3 linked regions of the Lonchura striata genome follow. The protein of the gene in region 3 binds, or shares a complex with, the protein of the main gene of each other region. Links are inferred from orthologs where the notes say so. Each region holds a gene or a part of one and is shown on either strand. Other genes may lie near its edges.

Region 1 (7,099 bases), on a different chromosome or scaffold from region 3:
TGCCCAGGTGAGTGCCAGCCGTGCCCAGGTGAGTGCCAGCCGTGCCCAGGTGTGCCCAGGTGTGCCAGGTGCTCACCAGGTCGAAGAGGCGCGGGCGTGCCTGCGTGCCGATGTGCAGCAGGTGCCGGTGTGGGGTGGGTTTGGGGTGGGTTTGGGGTGGGTTTGGGTACAGGTGAGTGCCCAGGTGAGTGCCAGCCGTGCCCAGGTGTGCCCAGGTGCTCACCAGGTCGAAGAGGCGCGGGCGCGCCTGCGTGCCGATGTGCAGCAGGTGCCGGTGTGGGGTGGGTTTGGGTTGTTGGGTTTGGGGTGGGTTTGGGGTGGGTTTGGGTACAGGTGAGTGCCCAGGTGAGTGCCAGCCGTGCCCAGGTGTGCCCCAGCCGTGCCCAGGTGCTCACCAGGTCGAAGAGGCGCGGGCGCGCCTGCGTGCCGATGTGCAGCAGGTGCCGGTGTGGGGTGGGTTTGGGTTGTTGGGTTTGGGGTGGGTTTGGGGTGGGTTTGGGTACAGGTGAGTGCCCAGGTGAGTGCCAGCCGTGCCCAGGTGAGTGCCAGCCGTGCCCAGGTGTGCCCAGGTGTGCTCACCAGGTCGAAGAGGCGCGGGCGTGCCTGCGTGCCGATGTGCAGCAGGTGGCGGAAGCCGCGGGTCACGGCCAGCGCCGCGCGCTCCCCGCGCCGCTGCAGCAGCGCGTTGGTGGCCACCGTGGTGCCCATGCGGATCCACTGGATCCCGGCGGCGTCCAGGGGCTGCTCCCGCGGCAGCGGCACCCCCAGCTCCTGCGGCACCCCAAAACTGAGCCCCGGCACCCCAAACTGAGCCCCGGGACCCCAAACTGAGCCCGGGGACCCCAAACTGAGCCCCGGCACCCCAAACTGAGCCCGGGGACCCCAAACTGAGCCCCGGCACCCCCAGCTCCTGCGGAACCCCAAAACTGAGCCCCGGGACCCCAGACCCACAGCGGCACCCCCAGCTCCTGCGGCACCCCAAAACTGAGCCCCGGCACCCAAAACTGAGCCCCGGCACCCCAAAACTGAGCCCCGGGACCTCAAAATTCACCGGGGACCCCAAAACTGAGCCCCGGGACCCCAAAACTGAGCCCCGGCACCCCAAAACTGAGCCCCGGGACCCCAAAACTGAGCCCCGGGACCCCAGACCCACAGCGGCACCCCCAGCTCCTGCGGCACCCCAAAACTGAGCCCCGGCACCCAAAACTGAGCCCCGGGACCCCAAAACTGAGCCCCGGCACCCCAAAACTGAGCCCCGGCACCCCAAACTGAGCCCCGGGACCCCAAAACTGAGCCCCGGCACCCCAAACTGAGCCCCGGCACCCCAAACTGAGCCCCGGGACCCCAAAACTGAGCCCCGGCACCCCAAACTGAGCCCCGGCACCCCAAAACTGAGCCCCGGCACCCCAGACCCACAGCGGCACCCCCAGCTCCTGCGGCGCCCCAAAACTGAGCCCCGGGACCCAAAACTGAGCCCCGGGACCCCAAAACTGAGCCCCGGCACCCCAAACTGAGCCCCGGCACCCCAAAACTGAGCCCCGGCACCCCAGACCCACAGCGGCACCCCCAGCTCCTGCGGCGCCCCAAAACTGAGCCCCGGGACCCCAAAACTGAGCCCCGGGACCCAAAACTGAGCCCCGGGACCCCAAATTCACCCGGGACCCCAAAACTGAGCCCCGGCACCCCAAACTGAGCCCCGGCACCCCAGACCCACAGCGGCACCCCCAGCTCCTGCGGCACCCCAAAACTGAGCCCCGGCACCCCAGACCCACAGCGGCACCCCCAGCTCCTGCGGCACCCCAAAACTGAGCCCCGGCACCCAAAACTGAGCCCCGGGACCTCAAAATTCACCCGGGACCCCAAAACTGAGCCCCGGGACCCAAAACTGAGCCCCGGGACCCCAAATTCACCCGGGACCCCAGAGCCACAGCGGCACCCCCAGCTCCTGGGGGGTCCCCAAAACTGAGCCCCGGGACCCCAAATTCACCTGGGACCCCCAGCTCCTGCAGGACCCTAAAACTGAGACCCAGGACCCCAGACCCATTTGGGGACCCCAGACCTATTTGGGCCCTCCAGACCCATTTGGGGACCCCCAGACTTATTTGGGGTCCCCAGACCCATTTTGGGGTCCCCAGACCCACTTGGGGACCCCCAGACCCATTTGGGGACCCCCCGCACGGGCTGGGGCAGGGGGTCCAGGCAGGCCCAGGGCTGGGGGGCTTAGGGGGGCCGGGAGGGGTCTGGGGGTTCCCCACGGGGGTCCCGGGATTCCCCACGGGGGTCCCTGTGAGAGGCATTTGAGGGGGGTCCCCGTGGGGTCCTTTGGGGGTTCCCGGTGGTCCCGGGGAGTTCCTCAGGGGGGTCCCTGTGCTCCCGGGGGTCCCAGCAGGGCACTCGGGGGGTCCCGGGGTCCCGGTGACCTCGGGCGGGTCCCGTGGTACCCCGCCGTGTCCCGGGGGTCCCGGGGATCCCGGGGGTCCCAGCAGGACACTCGGGGGGTCCCGGAGATCCCGCCGTGTCCCCGCCGTGTCCCGGGGGTCCCGGGGGTACCGGGGGTCCCAGCAGGGCACTCGGGGGGTCCCGGGGGTCCCGGTGACCTCGGGCGGGTCCCGTGGTACCCCGCCGTGTCCCGGGGGTCCCGCTGTGTCCCCGCCGTGTCCCGGGGGTCCCGCCGTGTCCCGGGGGTCCCAGCAGGGCACTCGGGGGGTCCCGGGGGTCCCGCTGTGTCCCCGCCGTGTCCCGGGGGTCCCGCCGTGTCCCGGGGGTACCGGAGGTCCCAGCAGGACACTCGGGGGGTCCCGGGGGTCCCGCCGTGTCCCCGCCGTGTCCCGGGGGTCCCAGCAGGACACTCGGGGGGTCCCGATGTGTTCCCGCTGTCCCCCCGCCGTGTCCCCTCGCTGTCCCCGCTGTCCCCCCGCCGTGTCCCCTCGCTGTCCCCCCTGTCCCCCCGCCGTGTCCCCTCGCTGTCCCCCCTGTCCCCCCGCCGTGTCCCCTCGCTGTCCCCGCCGTCCCCGCCGCTCCCGGGGCCCGGGGGTCGCTCGCACCTCCTGCAGGACGCGGCGGATGCCCTCGGTGGGCGCGTCCCGGTACGCCGGGTCCTCGGAGAGCAGCTTGAGGACGCGGACGCGGCCGCCGGGGCAGCGGGCGAACACGTCCGTGAAGGTCCCGCCGCGGTCGATGGCGAACTGGAACCCGGCGGGGGCGAGCGGCGCCGCCATGGCGGGACCGGCACCGGCACCGGCACCGGCACCGGGAGCGGCGGCCCCGGGGCTCCGCTCCGGCCTGGACAAGGTCGGGCCGGCCGGACAGGGGTCAGCCGGGGAAGGGTCGCTCCGGTCCGGTCCGCTACCCCCGGTGAGCGCTCGCTGCCGCTGGGACAAGGGCTCGGCGCTGTCCGGGAAGGACCGGTGCCGGTTCTGCCCCGGTGCGAGGCTCGGTGCCGGAGCCGCACGGGTCGGGACGGGCCGGGCTCGGAGCCGGGCCGTGCCGCGGGGTCCCGGTGCTGCCGCTCCGCCAGGGGGCGCTGCGGCCGCCCCGGTCCCGCCCGGTCCCGTTGGGTCCCGTTGGGTCCCGTTGGGTCCCGTTGGGTCCCGTTGGGTCCCGCCCGGTGCCGCGAACCGGCCGAGGGGCGGGGCCTCGGGGGGGCGTGGTTTAGGGCGTGGTTTAGGGGCGGGGCCTCGGGCGGTACCGGGGCACCGCCCCGCGGGGGGCGTGGTCTCTGTCCGGGGGCGTGGCCCGAATGGGGCGTGATCTGTGTGGGGTTGCGTCACAAGGGGCGTGGCTTCCGCCGCGGGAGCGTCACGGGGGCGGTGCCTCCCGTTGGCGGGCGGCTTGCGCGGGGCACGCCGGGAGTTGTAGTCCCGCCCCTCACGCGGCGCCGGCATGGCGGGGCTGGAGCTTCCGTCGGGCGCGGGGCACGCCGGGAGCCGTAGTCCCGCCCCTCACGCGGTCCCGGCGCGGGGCACGCCGGGAGCCGTAGTCCCGCCCCTCACGCGGTGCCGGGCGCGGGGCACGCCGGGAGCCGTAGTCCCGCCCCTCACGCGGTGCCGGGCGCGGGGCACGCCGGGAGCCGTAGTCCCGCCCCTCACGCGGTGCCGGCATGGCGGGGCTGGAGCTGCTGTCCGACGCGGGGTTCCGGGCGGACGGGCGCCGGCCGGACGAGCTGCGCAAGGTGCGGGCCCGGCTCGGGGTGCTGGCCCGGGCGGACGGCTCGGCCTACCTGGAGCAGGGCAACACCAAAGTGCTGGCGGCCGTGTACGGCCCGCACGAGGTGAGCGGGGCCGCGGCGCTTCTGAGCCTCTCCCGGGGCTTGTGAACTTCCCCGGGGCTTGTGAGCCTCTCCCGGGGCTTGTGAGCCTCTCCCGGGGCTTGTGAACCTCCCCTGGGGCTTGTGAGCCTCTCCCGGGGTTTGTGAACCTCCCCTGGGGCTTGTGAGCCTCTCCCGGGGCTTGTGAACTTCCCCTGGGTTCGTGAATCCCCTCGGGGCTTGTGACCCCCCCTCAGTCTCCCCCCTCCTCCCGGGACTTTCAGGGTCCCCCATTCTGAGCCCCCCTCCCCAATTTGTGCCCTCCCCCCATTTCTCTCCCCCCCCCCCACTTGTGTGGGTCCCACGCCCCCCCCCCCCCCCCAGCCCCCCTTTTTTCCTTGCAGCTTTGGGGGTCCCACAGCCTCCCCATCTCCGGGTCCCCCCAGTCCCTGATGTTTACCCCCCCCCCCCCAGCTCTGGGGGTCCCCCAGCCCCACCCTTTGTGTGCCCCCCCACTCCCAGCCCTCCAATTTCCCCCCCAGCTCTGGGGGTCCCACAGCCCCCCATGTCCATGCTCCCCCCACTCCCATCCCCTTTTCCCCCAGCTCTGGGGGTCCCACAGCCCCCCATGTCCATGCTCCCCCATGTCCGTGCCCCCCACTCCCATCCCCTTTCTCCCCGCAGGTTCGGGGGTCCCGGGTCAAGCCCCCCCCCATGTCTATTCTCCCCACTCCCATCCCCTTTCTCACAGGTTCGGGGGTCCCACAGCCCCCCCTGCCCGTGCTCCCCCCACTCCATCCCCTTTTCCCCCGCAGGGTCGGGGGTCCCACAGCCCCCCATGTCCATGCTCCCCCCACTCCCATCCCCTTTCCCCCCAGGTCCGGGGGTCCCACAGCCCCCCATGTCCGTGCCCCCCACTCCCATCCCCGTTTCCCCCGCAGGTTCGGGGGTCCCACAGCCCCCCATGTCCTTGCCCCCCACTCCATCCCCTTTCCCCCAGCTCTGGGGGTCCCGGGCCAAGGCCCCCCATGTCCTTGCCCCCCACTCCCATCCCCTTTCCCCCCAGGTCCGGGGGTCCCACAGCCCCCCATGTCCTTTCCCCCCAGGTCCGGGGGTCCCGGGCCAAGGCCCCGCCGGACCGGGCGCTGCTCAGCTGCCGCTGCAGCGCGGCGCCGTTCGCGGGGGGCGGCGAGCGGCGGCGGCGCCCGGCGCAGGGCGGCAGCGACCGGCGGGCGGCGGAGCGAGCGCTGCTGCTGCGGGGCGTGCTGGAGGGCGCCGTGCTGGCACAGCTCTACCCGCGCTCGCAGATCGACGTGCACGTACAGGTGACCCTGTGGGGGTTTGGGGGTGTCCTGGGGGGTTTGGGGGTGTCCTGGGGGGGTTTGGGGGTGTCCTGGGGGGTTTGGGGGTGTCCTGGGGGGTTTGGGGGTGTCCTGGGGGGCTTTGGGGGTGTTTGGGGGTGCCCTGCTGCTGCGGGGCGTGCTGGAGGGCGCCGTGCTGGCACAGCTCTACCCGCGCTCGCAGATCGACGTGCACGTACAGGTGAGCGGTTTGGGGGTGTCCTGGGGGGGTTTGGGGGTGTCCTGGGGGGGTTTGGGGGGGTCTGGGGGGGTTTGGGGGTGTCCTGGGGGTTTTGGGGGTGTCCTGGGGGGGTTTGGGAGTGTTTGGGGGTGCCCTGCTGCTGCGGGGCGTGATGGAGGGCGCCGTGCTGGCACAGCTCTACCCGCGCTCGCAGATCGACGTGCACGTACAGGTGACCCTGGGGGGGGTTTGGGGGTGTCCTGGGGGTTTTGGGGGTGTCCTGGGGGGGTTTGGGGGTGTCCTGGGGGGCTTTGGGGGGGTTTGGGGGTGCCCTGCTGCTGCGGGGCGTGCTGGAGGGCGCCGTGCTGGCACAGCTCTACCCGCGCTCGCAGATCGACGTGCACGTACAGGTGACCCTGGGGGGGCTTGGGGGTGTCCTGGGGGTGTTTGGGGGTGTCCTGGGGGGGTTTTGGGGGTGTCCTGGAGGGGTTTGGGGGTGTCCTGGGGGGCTTTGGGGGTGTTTGGGGGTGCCCTGCTGCTGCGGGGCGTGCTGGAGGGCGCCGTGCTGGCACAGCTCTACCCGCGCTCGCAGATCGACGTGCACGTCCAGGTGAGCGGTTTGGGGGTGTCCTGGGGGGGTTTGGGGGTGTCCTGGGGGGTTTGGGGGTGTCCTGGGGGTGTCCTGGGGGGGTTTGGGGGTGTCCTGGGGGTTTTGGGGGTGTCCTGGGAGGGTCTGGGGGTGTTTGGGGGTGCCCTGCTGCTGCGGGGCGTGCTGGAGGGCGCCGTGCTGGCACAGCTCTACCCGCGCTCGCAGATCGACGTGCATGTCCAGGTCAGGGCTTTGGGGGGGATTTGGGAGAGTTTGGGGGGATTTGGGGGATCCTGGGGGTTATTTTGGGTGTTTTGGGGGATTTTGAGTCACCCCTTGTCCCCGAAGGTGCTACAGGCAGACAGGGGTGAGCTGGGGGCCAGCGTCAGCGCGGCCAGGCTGGGGCACACAGGATCTGTGGGGTGTTTTGGGTGTTTCTGGGCTGTTTTGGGTGGATTTTGGGGTGTTTTGGGTGTTTTTGGGGTGTCTCTGAGTGCTCTTCCCCCCAGGTGCTGCAGGTGGACGGCGGTGAGCTGGGGGCCAGCGTCAGCGCGGCCGGGCTGGCGCTGCTGGGGCACTCGGGCTCTGTGGGATTTTTGGGTGAATTTTGGGTGGATTTTGGGTGGATTTTGGGAGTTTGGGGTGCCCCTGACCCCGCTCTCCCCCCAGGTGCTGCAGGCGGACGGCGGCGAGCTGGGGGCCAGCGTCAGCGCGGCCGGGCTGGCGCTGCTGGGGCACTCGGG
Region 2 (7,175 bases), on a different chromosome or scaffold from region 3:
ACATTATTTCAGGATAAACAAAAGTTGCTTCTCTTTTCAAGTTCAAATATACAAACACTTGCTCTTTAAAACAAATACAAATGAAGACAATTTGCTGATGGACATTAGTTTTTTACTACATTTCTTAAAAACCCCCATTTCCATCCCTTCCCAAAACACTCACCTGGCTTTTTGGTCATTTTCCAAGGCTTTCTGAATCAGTTCTGTTATTTCTGCGACCTTAACAGCTGTTATTTTAGTGCATCTCAGAATCTGTTTGTTACACATACAAAAACCAGTTTACAACCACGAAATCAACACGTTTTTAACTGAAACTATAGAGCATCATAAGAATCACAAACATTTAAATCACAGGAATTTCAAACACTTAAAATATAGCACCCTTAGCATGAAGGACTGGATTCATTGAGACATACAAAAAGTTAGCAGCTTCCAGAGTGCAACTGGAAATAATCTGCACATTTTTTTCAGCCAGATCACAGGGAAAATAAAAAGATAAATATCTGACCAAAAACTATGCATTTTCTACACCCCTTCAGCAGCATGGTACACAGTACTATGCTCTTCCACTAAAAGAAAAAATACACAATCTTTTCCAATAAAATCAGACAGTTAATTGGTTTCTCAGCTTCCAAATGTCATGGATATTTCCACATCAAGACTGCAGCACAGGAACCAGTCTATACACCACAGAAGGACTGATCAGAGCAAAGGTTTACCTGATCTGGCAGCAGCATGACCACTCCACTGGACTGGATGGTACAAATTTCATGGTGTTTATTCATGGCAATTACGAGGAGCCCATCCATCACCCGCTCCTCACGTTCAGTTGGGTCCACCAACAAATAGGTCCTAGAATCAAGGTTTGAAATATGAGGCAACAGTAGAAATTCGAGACACCTTACTACCCTTAAACACAATTAAACAAAGGAGTTGGCAAGGTTTATACCCCTTATGTGGGTACATAAGACCTCAAAATCTTACCCTTGATGGAAGAAGGCAAAACTGACACAAATGGGCATGTGGTGGATACTCAAGGGGACAGGATCACGTTCCTCAGGAGTGTACTTGGAAAGGAATTGGCCCAGAATACAGTTATTTATTAAACTCGTTTAATTTTAAAGTGACAAAGAAATTTCAGGAAATTTAAAACAGAAACAAAAACCCAGCTTACCACAGTTACTTCCTCTCCTTGCACAGACACATCTGGCCTGCGAAAATGACACAGAGCTACAATCCCTGCTATGCTGGCAGCATCAGTGATGTTGCCATCATGGTTTAACAGGTGCATGTCCAGCCGAATTTGCCAAACCTGACAAAAATACAAAAAATACAAAACTGCTTGATTCTACAGAAATTAATTTTTCTTCAAAACTAGTTCATCTTTTTTGAAACAGACAAAGAACCAATATATTTTCCCTAGGTCTTTGACTAAGAAGATTAGAGATCTAGGTATATTTCAAGAGACCCACTGTGCCAGATTTAATTAGGACAAAATATGCAGCACTTCAGCACAATTTAAACAACATTCTGTAGGGTCCCAGCTACTTCAGAAAGCCTATGCAGACATGACAAGTTAAAAATACCTCTCAAATCAGATGAGTGGATCTTTACATTAACCTAAAATCAGTACTTCTACTATCCAACACAAGACAGAGACCAACTTAAAATTGGACTATATGTATTTTTTAGTTTAAACCCACCAGGAATGAAGAAGTTTTCCTACCTTTTCACCAGCAACAACGCAGAGAGATTCAGTCTCAATACATTTGGAATCTCTGAGGCATCGCTCCAGTAGTCTGTTCAGTGACACCAGTAACTCAGATTGTCTGTTGGAATAAAATTAACCCAAAGTCAATACGATTACAGTGGCTTTTATGCCATCCCTGTTTACTCCTTTTAAGACATGCATTACCTGCCAGGCTCCAGCCCAGGTGCAGCCATGGGTGAGAGCTCCAGATTGAAGAAGAGCACACCCTCTGTGGGTCGACTGGGCTTAGGCGGAACGAGTTCACACGAGACCTGTGCAAGAACCCTGCCAAGGCAAATAAACCACCAAGTCACAGAAAATACCAGGGAAAATCTAGAAACAAAACACATACTTGGGGAGAAAAAAGCATGTGGTTAGGGTTTTAGTTTGTAATTCTCACTCCTGACAGTTTCTCGTTCAACATCTGTCAAACATTATTTAAAATCTGGTCAACAACTGAAGGAGCCAAATGTTAAGAACTAGAACGTACTCCTGTCTTTTAAGACTAAGAATTGACTCAAACACATGAGAAACTGTAATGACATATTTATGTAAATGCACAGATTTCACTTTTACACAGGCAAAAAAGGGTTGTTTGGTCTGGGGAAGAATGCAAAACGTGAGACCACTGAATAAACGGATGAAAACCTGGGAACAATTCTGCATTTTATAAATTATTTGTAACTACAATCATCACGGAAACCCCATCCCTTTCCCGCTTCCTTCCTTTCCATCCTCTCCTCTTTGCTCCCACCCTTGAAATACTAGGGCTTTAGGGCTTGAAAGGTTAAAATCTGTTTACAGAGATGTCTGCAGGCAGGGGAACCTCAGGCTCTCCTTGGCCCGGGGCCCGCGGCCGAGCCCCCGCGCCCACCTGGTCCTGCCCAGCTCCACCATGCAGCAGCCGCGGTCCGCGCCGAAGGAGACGCGGATGTTCCGGTAGTCGTAGCACTGCCTCCCGTCCAGGCGCTGCGGGAACACAGGGACACACACATGGAGAGGGTCGGTGCGCCATGCCCGCCATGCGACGGCACCGCGGCGGGGGAGGCGGCTCCCGGCGACAGCCGCGCTCCGCGGGCGGCGGGCAAGGGGATGGGGAAAGGGATGGGGAAAGGGGCGGGGAGGGGGGTGCTGGCGCCGCACCTTCTTCTCCTGGATGGCGCGGAGCAGGAAGCGCCGCTCGCAGTTGGAGAGCGGCGTCGCCTTCATGGCCGCGCCGTGAGGGGGCAGCGCGCGCGGGGCACGGCGCGGGGGGGGAGCGCGCGCGTCATCGCCGCGCGCCGCGCGTGCCCAGCGCGCACGCGCCGCGGCGTTGCCGCCCCCGCGCGCGCCCCCTCAGGGAGGGCGCGGCCCCGAGACTCCCGTAGCCGGGCGGCAGCGCGCTCTGCTTGGGGAAACTTCCTGCTATCCGAGCTAAACCTGCCCCCACTCAGCTTCACGCTGCTTCCCCGAGTCCTATCCCTGGTCACCAGAGTGCAGAGATCGGCATTGCCCCTCCGCTCCCCCTCCCGAGGATGCTGAGGTCTCCCCTCAGTCTCCGCCAGCTGAACAGACCAAGCGCCCCCAGGCGCCCCTCACACGGCTTCCCCTCCGGGCCCTTCAGCACCCTCGTGCTCTCCAGCAGCTCCCTGTCTTTTCCTTACTGCGGTGCCCAAAACTGCACGCAGCACCCGAGGAGAAGGCGCGCCGGTGCAGGGTGTGAGGGTGCGCGCCTCAGCGCCTCGGCAGCGACAAATGGTGCCGGAGTGCCGGTCCTCAGGAAAGCCATCTGGAATTTAAAAAAAAACAACCAAACAAACAACAACAACAACAACAACAAAAAAAAAAAAAAAAAAAAAAAAACACAAAAAAACCCAACAAAAAAACCGCACAAAACATGCATGCCGGACATTTCGAGTGGTTAACACTATTGTGGTGCCCAGCCCTCCAGGTGCGGATGCCCCGCGGCACCCGGGCTGCCAGCAGAACATCCCTCCCTGCTGTTCTGAAATGTTGCCCGTAAGTAAAAAGGCCTTTACAAGTGGCTTTTATGCTTCGTTTGAGCTAAAACGAGAAAATCTATTGTCTTCCCACCAATACTAAACCCCAGACACTGGCATATTCCACACAAAAGTGTTGAAATAGCTCAGTCACGCTGTCTTTTCAAGCCTTGTTAATACACTACAGTTCTGGTACAAACTAAAATGTAAGTCGTGTTTCTAAAACTCACAAGTTTGTGCTAGTGAGGACAAGTGCTGCCTGATTTTCCCATGCTGGTTTTATATTTTCAGTTTAGGATAAATATCATCACAAATAATAGGTGTAAGAAAATATCTATAAAATTACAGAAAGACACTCCTTCTCCAAGGACAAAAATAAGCAAATTGCCCTTGGAGTTTTACTGACAATTTTTACGTGGAAATTCTGTCTGATTTTACTTTTTTGGTGTGAATTTGGCGACAATATTCATTAGCGAAGGCTTGGGGTTAAATTCTGTAACTCTTCAAGTTTACTAACAGCAAATTTGGAAGCGTTTTTTTTTGTTTGTGGGAGTTGTCCAAACTACTTTACTCTTCGTCAATTACAAAAATATGTTAATTTCAGCATATATTGAGATTTCTGCTTGAGGTGGAGTGGGAAAATTCCTGTTCCTGCTCTCTCAGTGAACTGTTAAGTGACTCGATCTATCGGGCTGGCGGAAAAGCACGTTTTCAAAAGAGAAGGTGGTGGTGATGGTGAACTTCAGTGGGAGCTGGATGTAATTCCAGGGGAAATAAGTCATGTATTGGGGCTGGAAATCAGCTGCGTCCCCTTTGATCCACACAGTCTTCTTCACACAAAGGCTACTTTGCAGCTTTGGTGCTTGTACATGTGCTAAGAAGGGTAAAGAATTTAATGGACAAATTAAGGAGGCATAAAAACACATCATTGGAAATCTGTAGGAGGAGGGTACAGAGAAAACAAGATCAGTATAAATGGTTAATGAAATAGGAGCTGAGTAATTTCTGTGTTTCTGAACAGTGAGGGGCAGGGCTACAGTGGTAATGAAATAATGGAAATACTCTGGGTATTCAGAAGGAGTGAGTGTTGCACCCTGCAGAGTGAATAAATGAGCAAATAAATCACAGGTACTTAGGCTAAAGCAGGAATTTTTAGAAAGAAGATCGTGATGATCTACTGTGCCCACATGGAAGTGTTTCTTCATTTGAGCTGAATGCTCTGTGGGCTGAAATGCTTGAATTGGATTATTTTACTGAACCGAGCCTGGAGGGAAAATCGCATTTGAGGACTGGAGAAGAAAACCAAACTGCATCAGAATCTCTGCATCTTGACAGCAAGCTGCCATTGATTTTTATAGCCTAATCAAAATAAATAAGAAATTGACCTTCTCTTTCCATCTCAGCCTTAACTGCAATGTGCCTTTGCTGCTTGGCTGCGAGTCCTGCTCATTGACACATATCATCCATGCATGACATGATGTATGCAGTGCTCCAGCTGATAAGGTTATTTGGGAAGAAAGGCTCTGCCTAGATGTAATAATGTAATTTATAATTTGTTTTTATGATGAAAGTTCCAGGGGGTGTGGGAGGATGGGCAATCCTTGCAAGCAGCGCTGCTGGCAGAAGTGAGGCATGAACAGTACCTCCTGCTGAGATGAGGAACAGGATATTCTGGCCAGGATCCAGTGAAGCACTCAAACAAGCTCTTTGTCTGAAGCACCTTTGTCCCTTACGTATTAGAAGGAATGTGTCACAGCTTCCAAGGCTAAAATATAGGAAAGGAGTTGCCTGGTATATATGCTGAAATAATTTTATTTAAAAATAAATTTAAAAAAAAAAAAAAAAAAAGGGAGGGGATCCAGAACTGCCAGGAAATCATCTAAACACCATCTTAAGGCAAGTTGGTAATAACATCTTCATCTGCTTGCTGAATGCTTGCTCGATCATGTTTCCATAGGCTAGATTTCAGAGTAAACCCCAAAATATTCTTGCTGTTTCCACCTGTACTTTAGCCTTCACATCACCTCTTGGGGTTTCCTGCTCTCATGAAAGAAGTTTTTTGCTCCAAAGGGTCCTGCCAGAAATTCTGAACCTGTAGACAGTGCTGCATTGAATGAACACTGATTCCCAGCTCTCAGCAATCCCTTGGGGAAAGTGGAAAGTGTTTCCAAGGCTGGATGCCAGGCAAGCAACAAAGTCAGAGGAAAAGAAGTTACACTTCTCCTTTTATTTGTCTCCACACTCTGCAATTTCCTTGTCTCCAGGCAAACTGTTTCAATAATTTCTATGGATTCAAGTGAAACCAGTTGCTGAGTGAAGTGTCATGCTAAACCAGAATTGTTACAGTTTGAGTTGAAGGCTCTGAATATACAAATCAATGTCTGAGTTCAGATTTTAATGTGGTTTAAGATTTTCAAACCTTTTAGAAGCATCTTCAAATTCTCTTAAGAAGCAACAGATGTCCATGTTGAAGTAGAAACTGTAATTTTGTTTCATGGGGAATAGGCAAAAATAGACCAAAACTGTTGCCTGAATAAAAGCACTTTCTCATATCCTAATCTTAAATATTACTTGACAGATAGGTTAAATACTGGCTTGAGGCAAGAGCTCAGGAGTGTGAAAATGAAGTGAATATCTATTTGGAAGCTGGTTTTTTTTTTTGTTGTTGTTGATGTTTTTTTTTTCCTATTGGAAAGGTGCCAGAAAATGTTTGCTGATACCACATATTGACAGTCTTACAATACAGAGGAAATCCAGAGTACTGACAAGCTTACTGACATCTGATCCCTAAGAGATAATAGCACGTTTAATAACATTGGGGGATAATCAGATAATCAAGTTGAACCATTAAATCAAAATGGCTTTTTTTCCCCCAATTATTTTTCCTGCTTATTCAGCTTCCAAGTATCTGTTACAGACCAGAAATTAATCTTGACTGCCTTGAAATGCTGGGAGTCATAATCTTTCTCAATCAAGCATTTTTGTTGTTCTGTATGGAAAACCTCTCTTAAAATCTTGATACTAAAATTCTCCATTTAAAACAGGGGATGCATCTTTTTGTTGACTCAGCTGATTTTAAAGGAAATTTCACTTTTAAAGTTGTATCTTAGAATGCAGGTGTTGTTAAAAGATAGAAGTGTGGTAGAGAAGTGTCTCCTGTTGTGTAGAACAGCCACCCATCAGTGTCTCGTGCACAGAAGCAGACTGTCTCACATGAAGAATCCTCTGTGTACCACATATAAATCTTAATCTCCCCATATTTTCCAAAGATCCCAATTCTTCATTCCCTGCCCAGAAATTCTTACAAGAAAACTGCTGTGAGTAGTTGAATTCCTCGTAGTAATACAAGCAAAATGGGAAAGTGTCCAATTATTGTGTCAGAGACCACAGAGCACTGGAGAATGATGGGTGCTGGCCTTGCCTTTTTCCACCAGGTAATGTTTTTT
Region 3 (7,782 bases):
TTCCAGAGTGCAGGATGTGGATACAGTCATGAGCCTGCTCTCTGTACAATACATGACATTTACTTTTTCATTGCTTCATAAAATGCACTGTGCCCTCATACAATGCCAAATTTAAAACTGTTTCCACAGGAATTAAAGGGTCCATAATCCCAGCAAGGGATACACAACATCTATCAAAAACGGAACTGATCTCTCTTTAAGAACAGTTAGTCTTTGCCAGAGGCAGAACCTTAAAATTGTGCAATCAACTTATGTTGTGCAGAAGAGGAGAGTTCATACTGTCGCTTACTACAGGGTGCTTTGGTAAGTTGAAAGGAAACTCTGACTTCAGCAGCAACTGATGCAGCCTTTCTGTTCCCTCCCCTCAGTGTGGAATAAACACTACTGGTTCCTGTACCTGATGAGGAAGGGATGCTTCATAGCAATATAGGATGCTGGTGTCAAAGAGCATAATCTTGTGAGTAACCAGAGCCATGATGCAGTTTCGGAGCCGTGAGATCACCTCCCGGTCAGACAAGGGAACTGGCTGAGGAAGGACAGAGGAAAAGGGATGAATGCACAGGGAAATAATGCAAGTAAAAAAGCCTTGCTGTGAACCTAACACAAGATCCTGAAAGTCTCGGGTTCCTCACGTGCCTCTGACTATGTCAGACTAAAAACCATCACTGGCAGAAGAAGGCTCACGTTCCCTGGACGCTCACCTCCAAGTTGGCCGTGTAGCCTCCGGCCTCGTCATCCTTCTGCTCCGGGGTTGGGTAGATCCAGATGAAGCCATTGTTGCCGAGGATCACGGATGCCCCACAGGGCAGGTCATGGAAATGAGTCTTCTGGCGTTTCACAAGGGAGGGAGAGACCTGAACCAGCACACCCTGGGCAAGCTGGAGAGCAGACCACGAGGCTCAGTGTGAGAGATATCATGAACCACCACAGATAACACCAAGTCACTGATACACACTCACTCCATTCCTGGCCTAGGAATAACACTGTTTTAACATCTTTTCCTGTGAAACAGTGAATATAAAACCTGCCTGCCTCTGGCAGCGCTGGGAGGATTAGCTAATTGCCTGCACAGCCCTTTGAAGATGAAGAATACTCTAAGTGCTTAGCACAAATGTTAATAATATCTTGATTGTAACTACACATCAACCATCCCTGCAGAAAAATGAGGAGTCAGAGGCCCAATTTAGCAGAACACTTTCTCTGGTAATCCAATCACTGTCCTTCACCCTTTGTGCAATAAGCACACTTCCCTTTCATCTTTTAAGTGTTAATACCTTTGGTCTGGTAATCCCAAACTGCAACCTACGCTCCAATGGCCCCTTGGCTTATTTCAATGCACAAAACCAGAGATAAATGCCAACTGTGTAAAGCCTAAAATAGAGCCCTGGGGAGAGGAACAAGTCACAGGGGCAACAGCCAGCAGAAAGGAGTGAGGAGATCTCTCCCCAGGATTGAATTCCTAAGTGGCTAGTGGGGGGAAACAGAATAGCAGGCTGAAACTGTGGATGGGGAGAGCAGTGGATCAAAGGGCAACTCAAGGACACCTCCTCTGTTTTGGGGAAACTTTTCTTGGTGGTCCCGTGGAAGAGCTGAGAGTCTTCCTGTCCTGCAGGAATGGGTTATAACAACATCCTGCTCTACTCAGAGCTCTTTTCTTTAAAAAGCCTTGTACAAGTCAGCTGGTGCAGATTTTTCCCAGGATCAAGGGCTTTGGAATAACTCACCTTCCCATACTTCAGGCTCCGGGTGTGCAGCGATACAGCCCCATCAGAAAATATAGACTGGACCTCTGCCTGTCGGTGCCACTTAAGGAAACAGAGTCCCTAAGGCTGCCCAGTGCCACCCCAGCATAGCTCTCACCCCCAGCCAAGCTCTCCCTGTTCTTCCCATGCCCTTGGCTCTTCTGTCAATGGGAGCAGCAGGATACACTGATGAGATCCCCTTCCTGCAGGTAGTCCCTCATTGCAAGCTCATCTTCTGCTGATTTCCTTCTCTGAAACATCACAAGAAAAGTTACACGTATCCCAGAACGAGGAAATATCCATCAGTAGCTCATTGTGGGGGCCCTTAAGATGCCACACAAAACACAACCAGCTACACTCACCAGCTCCCCACCAGGTAAATTTATAGACGACAGCAACAGGACTGAATCCAGCCTGGAATTTATTTCCACTTTCCATCGCTTCTGCTGAACCTAAAGGGGAAAAAGCCACCAAAACTTATGGGTACACAATCAAAAACTGCACTGAGCTGCAGGAGGGAAAGCTCTGCTGGCTTCTTCCAGCCTCATTCCAGTAAAAATCCACACGTTCCCAGCACCCTGTGCACGGACACTGATGCGTGTCAGTGTTTTAGGCTCCCGGGAAGCGCTTAGAGTCGGACTGATCCACGACCACGCTCCTCCTCCTGCACAAACACGGGGCTTTACCTCGGTGATCCTGCCGACCACGACGTCGCCGATCTCGCCGTTGTACCTGGGGCAGAGAGCGGCGGTCACACCCCACACCCCACACCTCACACCCCTCACCTCACACCCCACACCTCACACCCCACACCTCACACCCCTTACCTCACTCCCCACACCTCACACCCCACACCCCTCACCTCACAGCGGGCCTCGCCGCCGCGCTCACCTGCCCTTCAGCGCCCTCACACACACCAGCTTGTTCACCCTCTCCACCACGCCGGCCACCGAGGCGATCAGCTTGTCGTCCTCCACATAAGTACCGTGGCCCCTGCGGAGAGACGGCGGCTACCTAAGGACAGCCCGAAGCCGCGCCGCCCCGCCGCCTCCCCTCCGCCGCTGCCCGCACCTCATGTATCCCGTGTCCGTGGTGATCGTGTCCCCCGGTGCCACCAGGTGCTTCTCGCCGCTCCGGGGCGCGCTGGAATCCAGGGGCGCTCGGGCCGCCGGCAGCCTCATGGTGACCGCCGCCATCTTGGCCCCGCCGTACGCGCCTTCCGCCCGCCATGTTGGCTGCTGGCGAAAGCGCGCCTGAGGGCGCGGGCGCCGCCATCTTGAGTGAGGGCGGCAGGGGCGGTGACTGGGCAGCCATGTTTGTTTCTGGCAGCGAGGGGCCTGTTGGGCTTCGTTCCGGTGGAGCCCAAAGGGAACCGCGGCCATCTTTAGTGAGGGCACCCCGGGCAGTGACCCTCTCCCTCAGAACCCTCCTGGCGAACGCGGGGAACGCCACGGGGCTCTCCCGGGGCTCACCCCCGGTTCGGGTGCCCCTCACACAAGGTGTCCCGCTGAGGGCCATCCTCTGACGCCCTCCCCAGCTGGCCGCTGCTCACTCTGGGCTTAAACATCCCCGTGGATGAGCCCTTCCCCTCGGCCGAGCTGTGCCAGCACGAACTGATACGTCCGTGGAAAAGTTTAATCCATTCAAGCACCGTTAGAGTCTCAGGGCTGCGATGGCCATCAGCAAATAATGTCGCTTCCTTCCAGCAGGGCTTACACCTGTATGCCACACCCATATCCCGCCTGTATCACAGCCGAAATATGGGCGCTAATTCACGGGATGCATCAAACGATGTCCAGTGGCTGTGGCTTCAAAGAGGAGCTGTAAAAGTTCACAAGAATAGGGACTGGCAGGGTAGAATCATACCCACTCTGGAGTGAGCCAGCCCTTACCCCAGCTTCCAGACCTGAAAAAGGGCTTCTTTAGCCAAAACCTGGTTTTTTTCCCCTCCCAGGTGTATTCTTGGTCCAACAGATGACACCGCATCTCCTCACTCACACATTGTTGTGGCAGTTGAGACCTTCATTCATCCCAACACCCACATCCTTCCCCTGGCACATAAAATAAAGCTCTCCATGCAATCCCTCTTCTAAATGATAAATGTTCCAAGTAATTTTTATTTAGAATACAAGAGAGGTACAAATGTATTTACACTGTGTACATATACAATCAAATAATATATAATATCAAAGTCTTGTAAATAATGTTTACATAAATATTTACAAAGTTAAAGTGACAGTTGTTTGGGGGTGGGTTTTTTTTTTTTTCTTTTGTTTTTGTTTATTTTCTTCTGGAAGTGAAACACATTTGTGAGAACTTTATACATCTTAGACTTATAATTAATATTAGAATACCTTCTTTTAAGATTTATGATACACAGCCCTCCTCCGCTGTGTGGGGACTCCAGAGGGCGCTTAGAGTTGTCCTTGGGGACAGAGCTGGCCCGGGGACAGGTTTTCTCTGTCCCCAGAGGGCAGTAGCAATTCCAACCAGAATGTTCCCTCACAGCTGGGAAAGGGATGGGGAGAAGAGCCCGGCAGAGCTCAGGTTCCCCGCAGAACCTGCCTGTGGATGGGCATTCCCAGCTGGCACCGTGTCCCCTCTGCCCACAGCACGGCTTGGAGCGGTGACAGACCCCAGGGCACGGCTCTGGCTGGAGCAGGGCGGGCACGGGGGGCTCAGGTGCAGGAAAATGCGAATGTTCACTAACTCGGGGCTCCCAAAGAGGGAAAGGTGTCCCTTGGAAGGAGCCACCAGGACCAAAGTCACTCCCAGGGCAAATAGGTGTGACTGGGGGGGCCACATCAGGGCCGTGCCAACATTTCAGTGGGGCACGTGTCTGCTAAAGCAGAGGAGGACAGATAACAGGAATTTTTCTTTCTACCAAATTATCTGTAAAATCCAGGCATGGCTCCTCCAGGCCCAGCTTTTCGGCTCTCCCAGTCCTCCCGCAGTGCACTGGCAAACCCACACAGCACATCCCACTGCACCCCTTCTCCTCTGCCAACCCCAGGGAGCACCAGCCACACCTCCTTGGGGATGCTCCTCCACAACTCAGCTGCAGAGCTGGGGGTTCCCTCCTGCCGACCCCCTGCAGTCAGCGATGCCCAAAAACAACCCAACACTCCTCCGAGACAAAGCAGCTCAGCCAAGGGTCACCCCCCCAGTTCATTGCATGTCTCAGCATCAGTCTTTGATGTCCCACATCCTGCTGCCATCCCGGGGGCTTCACAGCACCATGGTGGGGATGTGATGGGCCAGGGAGGCAGGGTGGGGCACGGGCAGGGCGGGCGAGTGGGCCTGCAGGGAGGCGTTGGGGGGCCGGTGGCGGGCGCTTTTCTGGTGGGCCCGCAGCCCTGCGAGCTGGGAATAGGCACTTTGGCAAACCTGGCACTTGTAGGGCCGCTCGCCCGTGTGCAAGCGGACGTGGTTGCGGAGGGTGGAGGACTGGCTGAAGCGGCGGTTGCAGAAGCGGCACACGAAGGGCTTGTCCAGGGTGTGGATGCGCATGTGGGAGCGCAGGTTGCTGCGGGAGTTGAAGCCGCGGTGGCAGATGACGCAGCGCATACGCCCCGTCGTGCTGGCCCCCGTCTCCACTGCGTGGAAATCCTCTGGGGACGACAGGAGATAGTCAGGCGCTGCCCTCCAGCACGGCAGCTCAGCCCACCCCAATTCCCTGGGCTGCTGGGTGCTCTGGAAAACCCCCAGTGCCTTCTTGCTGGCTCCCTGCTGCTGTGGTCACCTATCCTGGGCAGAGCGGCATCTCAGGATTTTGAGATGCAGCTAGTGCTGGGAATGGGCTCAGCCAGATTTAGGTAAGGGGAATGTTCAAGCTGAGCTGAATGAATCCCTTATAAATAGACACAAAACCAATTTTCCCCTCCCTGGGCTGCAGCAGAGCTGGAGGAGGGGGGTGCAAGGACTCTCAGGAACCCCCAACCACACTGTCCAGCCCCTGCCCCAGTCCCAGTTTCTCCCCTCGCTCTGCTGGGCTCAGACATGGCTCTCTCAGAGTGGGGAGCAAAGTCAGGGAGCGCAGAAGTGGCTCCAAACACAGCCTGAGCTCCGCTGTGCCACAGAGAAGCACCTCAGGGAGCCACTGAGACGAGCGGAGAGCAGAAGCTCAAGCAGAGACAGCCCTCCTGTGCTGGTGATTAAGATCCTTTAAATGCAGAGTGCGGGTGTAGAGGCTGCATCCACTTGGTGTTTCACGGAGTGTTGGGGCTGCCTTGCACTCACACCCTGCTCTGCTCCTCCCTGCCTGGCTGGGTCAGGCAGTGACTGCCACCACCCCACCCGCAGCAGCCTTGGGCAAGCTGGCCTGGAGGCTTCGCCCTGAATAACTGAGGATCTGCTCAAGCTGTGTGGATCATTTCACAGTCCCTGTGCTTGTCCACAGAGAACTGGGATATCTGACATACCCCAGGGATGTCCCTGCCTTGTGCCCTCAGAGCTGGGCACGGGGTGAACAGGCAGGGATGCTGCACCCTTGGCTCATTCTGATGTTACCTACCATGTTTGTTCTTCTTCTGCTCCTCTTCCAGCCCTGGCACACCTGGGATGCCCAGGAAGGTGTTGTGGGAGTTCCCATACCAGACCAGCAGCTCTTGGTCTGGAGGAATCATCTAGAAAGAGAGAGAAAGAAAGGGTTGTTGGGAGGGGTGATGAACATCCATCCCTGCACTGATCTACCCTGTTTCTGCCCCATTTCTGTGAGATCCTGATGCCATCTGGGACCTGCCAGCTGACCCCAACACCCACAGGGAGGCACAGAACAGCCCAGGATGTAGCACTGGAGGTGATGGCGCAGCTCAGCACCAGCACAAACCATTCCAGGCTCTCCCCCAAGCTGGGATACAAACATATGGGACATGGAGCCCCACTCAGCACTCCAGCAGAGCATTTTATCTTTGGACAGAGCCATCAGTACCCTTCAGCTGCAGGTCACGGGCAGCACCTCCCACCCACCCTGCCAGGGCTGATTTTAGAAGGTGGAAACGCAGATCTGCCAGCAAAGGGCTCATCAGCCTGCGGGGCAGAGGAGAGCTCAGAGCTGCTCTCAGAGACCGTGGCTCAGGTGTGAAACCTGCTTCTATCCCCCACCAAAGCTGCAGTGCCTGCAACAGCCCAAGGACAGCTAGAGGAGCAGGGCAGGGGTTTTGCATCATCCATGCTCCTGTTTCCCTGCAGTGGTGGCACTTCTCCTGTCCCTGCCGTTCCTGTCATGCTCCCGCATGGCTGGGGCAAGCGGCCAGGAAACGCTGCTCAAGGCTCCCCTCATGCAGCAGCTGTGGCTGGGAAGATGGATCCTCTCAGACCAGTTCAAACAACACTAATAACAACATAATTTATAAAAAAAACCAAACATATTTTCCCTAGCAGTTCCTACTGTTAAGTATCTAATTTAGAAACAGGAATGTCCTGTATATTGGAAAATTGTTTTCTGTACACTGAGCATGTTAGATCCAAATAAAGCATCATCCATGTGAAACATAGATGCTAAGTTCAATCACCTCAACACTGAAAATACGTTGAATTTAAAGCATCTGAAATCAATAGGAATTTTACTTCATATCTTTGTCCCTCTGCATAAAGACCTCCCTGGGCTGCAGAGGAGAAATTTGGGAGGTAAAGGAAGCTGATATCCTTTTGCATCCCAAACTGATGACACTGTTTCTTGGCATTATATACCCTTAACAGAAAATTAGCCATTTTTAATACAAGCAAATAAAATATTGCCGAAAGGATAAAACAATCTGCATGGGTGTGCATACACGGGTGTGTGGGTTTTTTTGCTGAAGCTGCTGCAGCCACACCAGCAGCAGGTGAGCACCCATGTGCATACACCCCAAAGCAAATTCAAATTGCCTCCCAGGAATCTTGTGGCCTTCAGATCAAAGGCCAAAACTTTCTGCCTTCGTTTTATTTTCCAGCAGCAGCAACTTGATATTGCTGAGAAAGAGGATGGGAAAATCAAATCAGCAAATAAGGGCAGGAACGGGCAAAATGCATTAAAATATCTAAAAAATATCTAAGGTAA

Evidence for each region.
Region 1: EXOSC2 (region 3) and EXOSC4 share a complex: the UniProt entries of both Homo sapiens proteins name them as parts of the RNA exosome core complex. The link is inferred for Lonchura striata from reciprocal best matches to the Homo sapiens genes EXOSC2 and EXOSC4.
Region 2: EXOSC2 (region 3) and EXOSC9 share a complex: the UniProt entries of both Homo sapiens proteins name them as parts of the RNA exosome core complex. The link is inferred for Lonchura striata from reciprocal best matches to the Homo sapiens genes EXOSC2 and EXOSC9.

Annotation. Positions count from the first base shown.
Region 1 is NC_134603.1:819,490-826,588, forward strand, and holds the start of EXOSC4 (exosome complex component RRP41), read left to right. Parts: upstream 1-4,099; coding exon 4,100-4,270; intron 4,271-5,352; coding exon 5,353-5,571; intron 5,572-7,099. UniProt on the Homo sapiens protein: Non-catalytic component of the RNA exosome complex which has 3'->5' exoribonuclease activity and participates in a multitude of cellular RNA processing and degradation events.
Region 2 is NC_134606.1:69,539,468-69,546,642, forward strand, and holds the start of EXOSC9 (exosome complex component RRP45), read right to left. Parts: upstream 3,001-7,175; 5' UTR 2,960-3,000; coding exon 2,894-2,959; intron 2,720-2,893; coding exon 2,625-2,719; intron 2,036-2,624; coding exon 1,916-2,035; intron 1,830-1,915; coding exon 1,727-1,829; intron 1,313-1,726; coding exon 1,175-1,312; intron 1,068-1,174; coding exon 985-1,067; intron 853-984; coding exon 720-852; intron 253-719; coding exon 164-252; intron 1-163. UniProt on the Homo sapiens protein: Non-catalytic component of the RNA exosome complex which has 3'->5' exoribonuclease activity and participates in a multitude of cellular RNA processing and degradation events.
Region 3 is NW_027461138.1:109,898-117,679, reverse strand, and holds the start of EXOSC2 (exosome complex component RRP4), read right to left. Parts: upstream 3,020-7,782; 5' UTR 2,939-3,019; coding exon 2,814-2,938; intron 2,736-2,813; coding exon 2,634-2,735; intron 2,475-2,633; coding exon 2,429-2,474; intron 2,195-2,428; coding exon 2,105-2,194; intron 1,994-2,104; coding exon 1,928-1,993; intron 1,794-1,927; coding exon 1,725-1,793; intron 879-1,724; coding exon 702-878; intron 527-701; coding exon 398-526; intron 1-397. Other genes in the region: PRDM12 (PR domain zinc finger protein 12), read right to left, coding at 4,971-5,353, 6,256-6,367. UniProt on the Homo sapiens protein: Non-catalytic component of the RNA exosome complex which has 3'->5' exoribonuclease activity and participates in a multitude of cellular RNA processing and degradation events.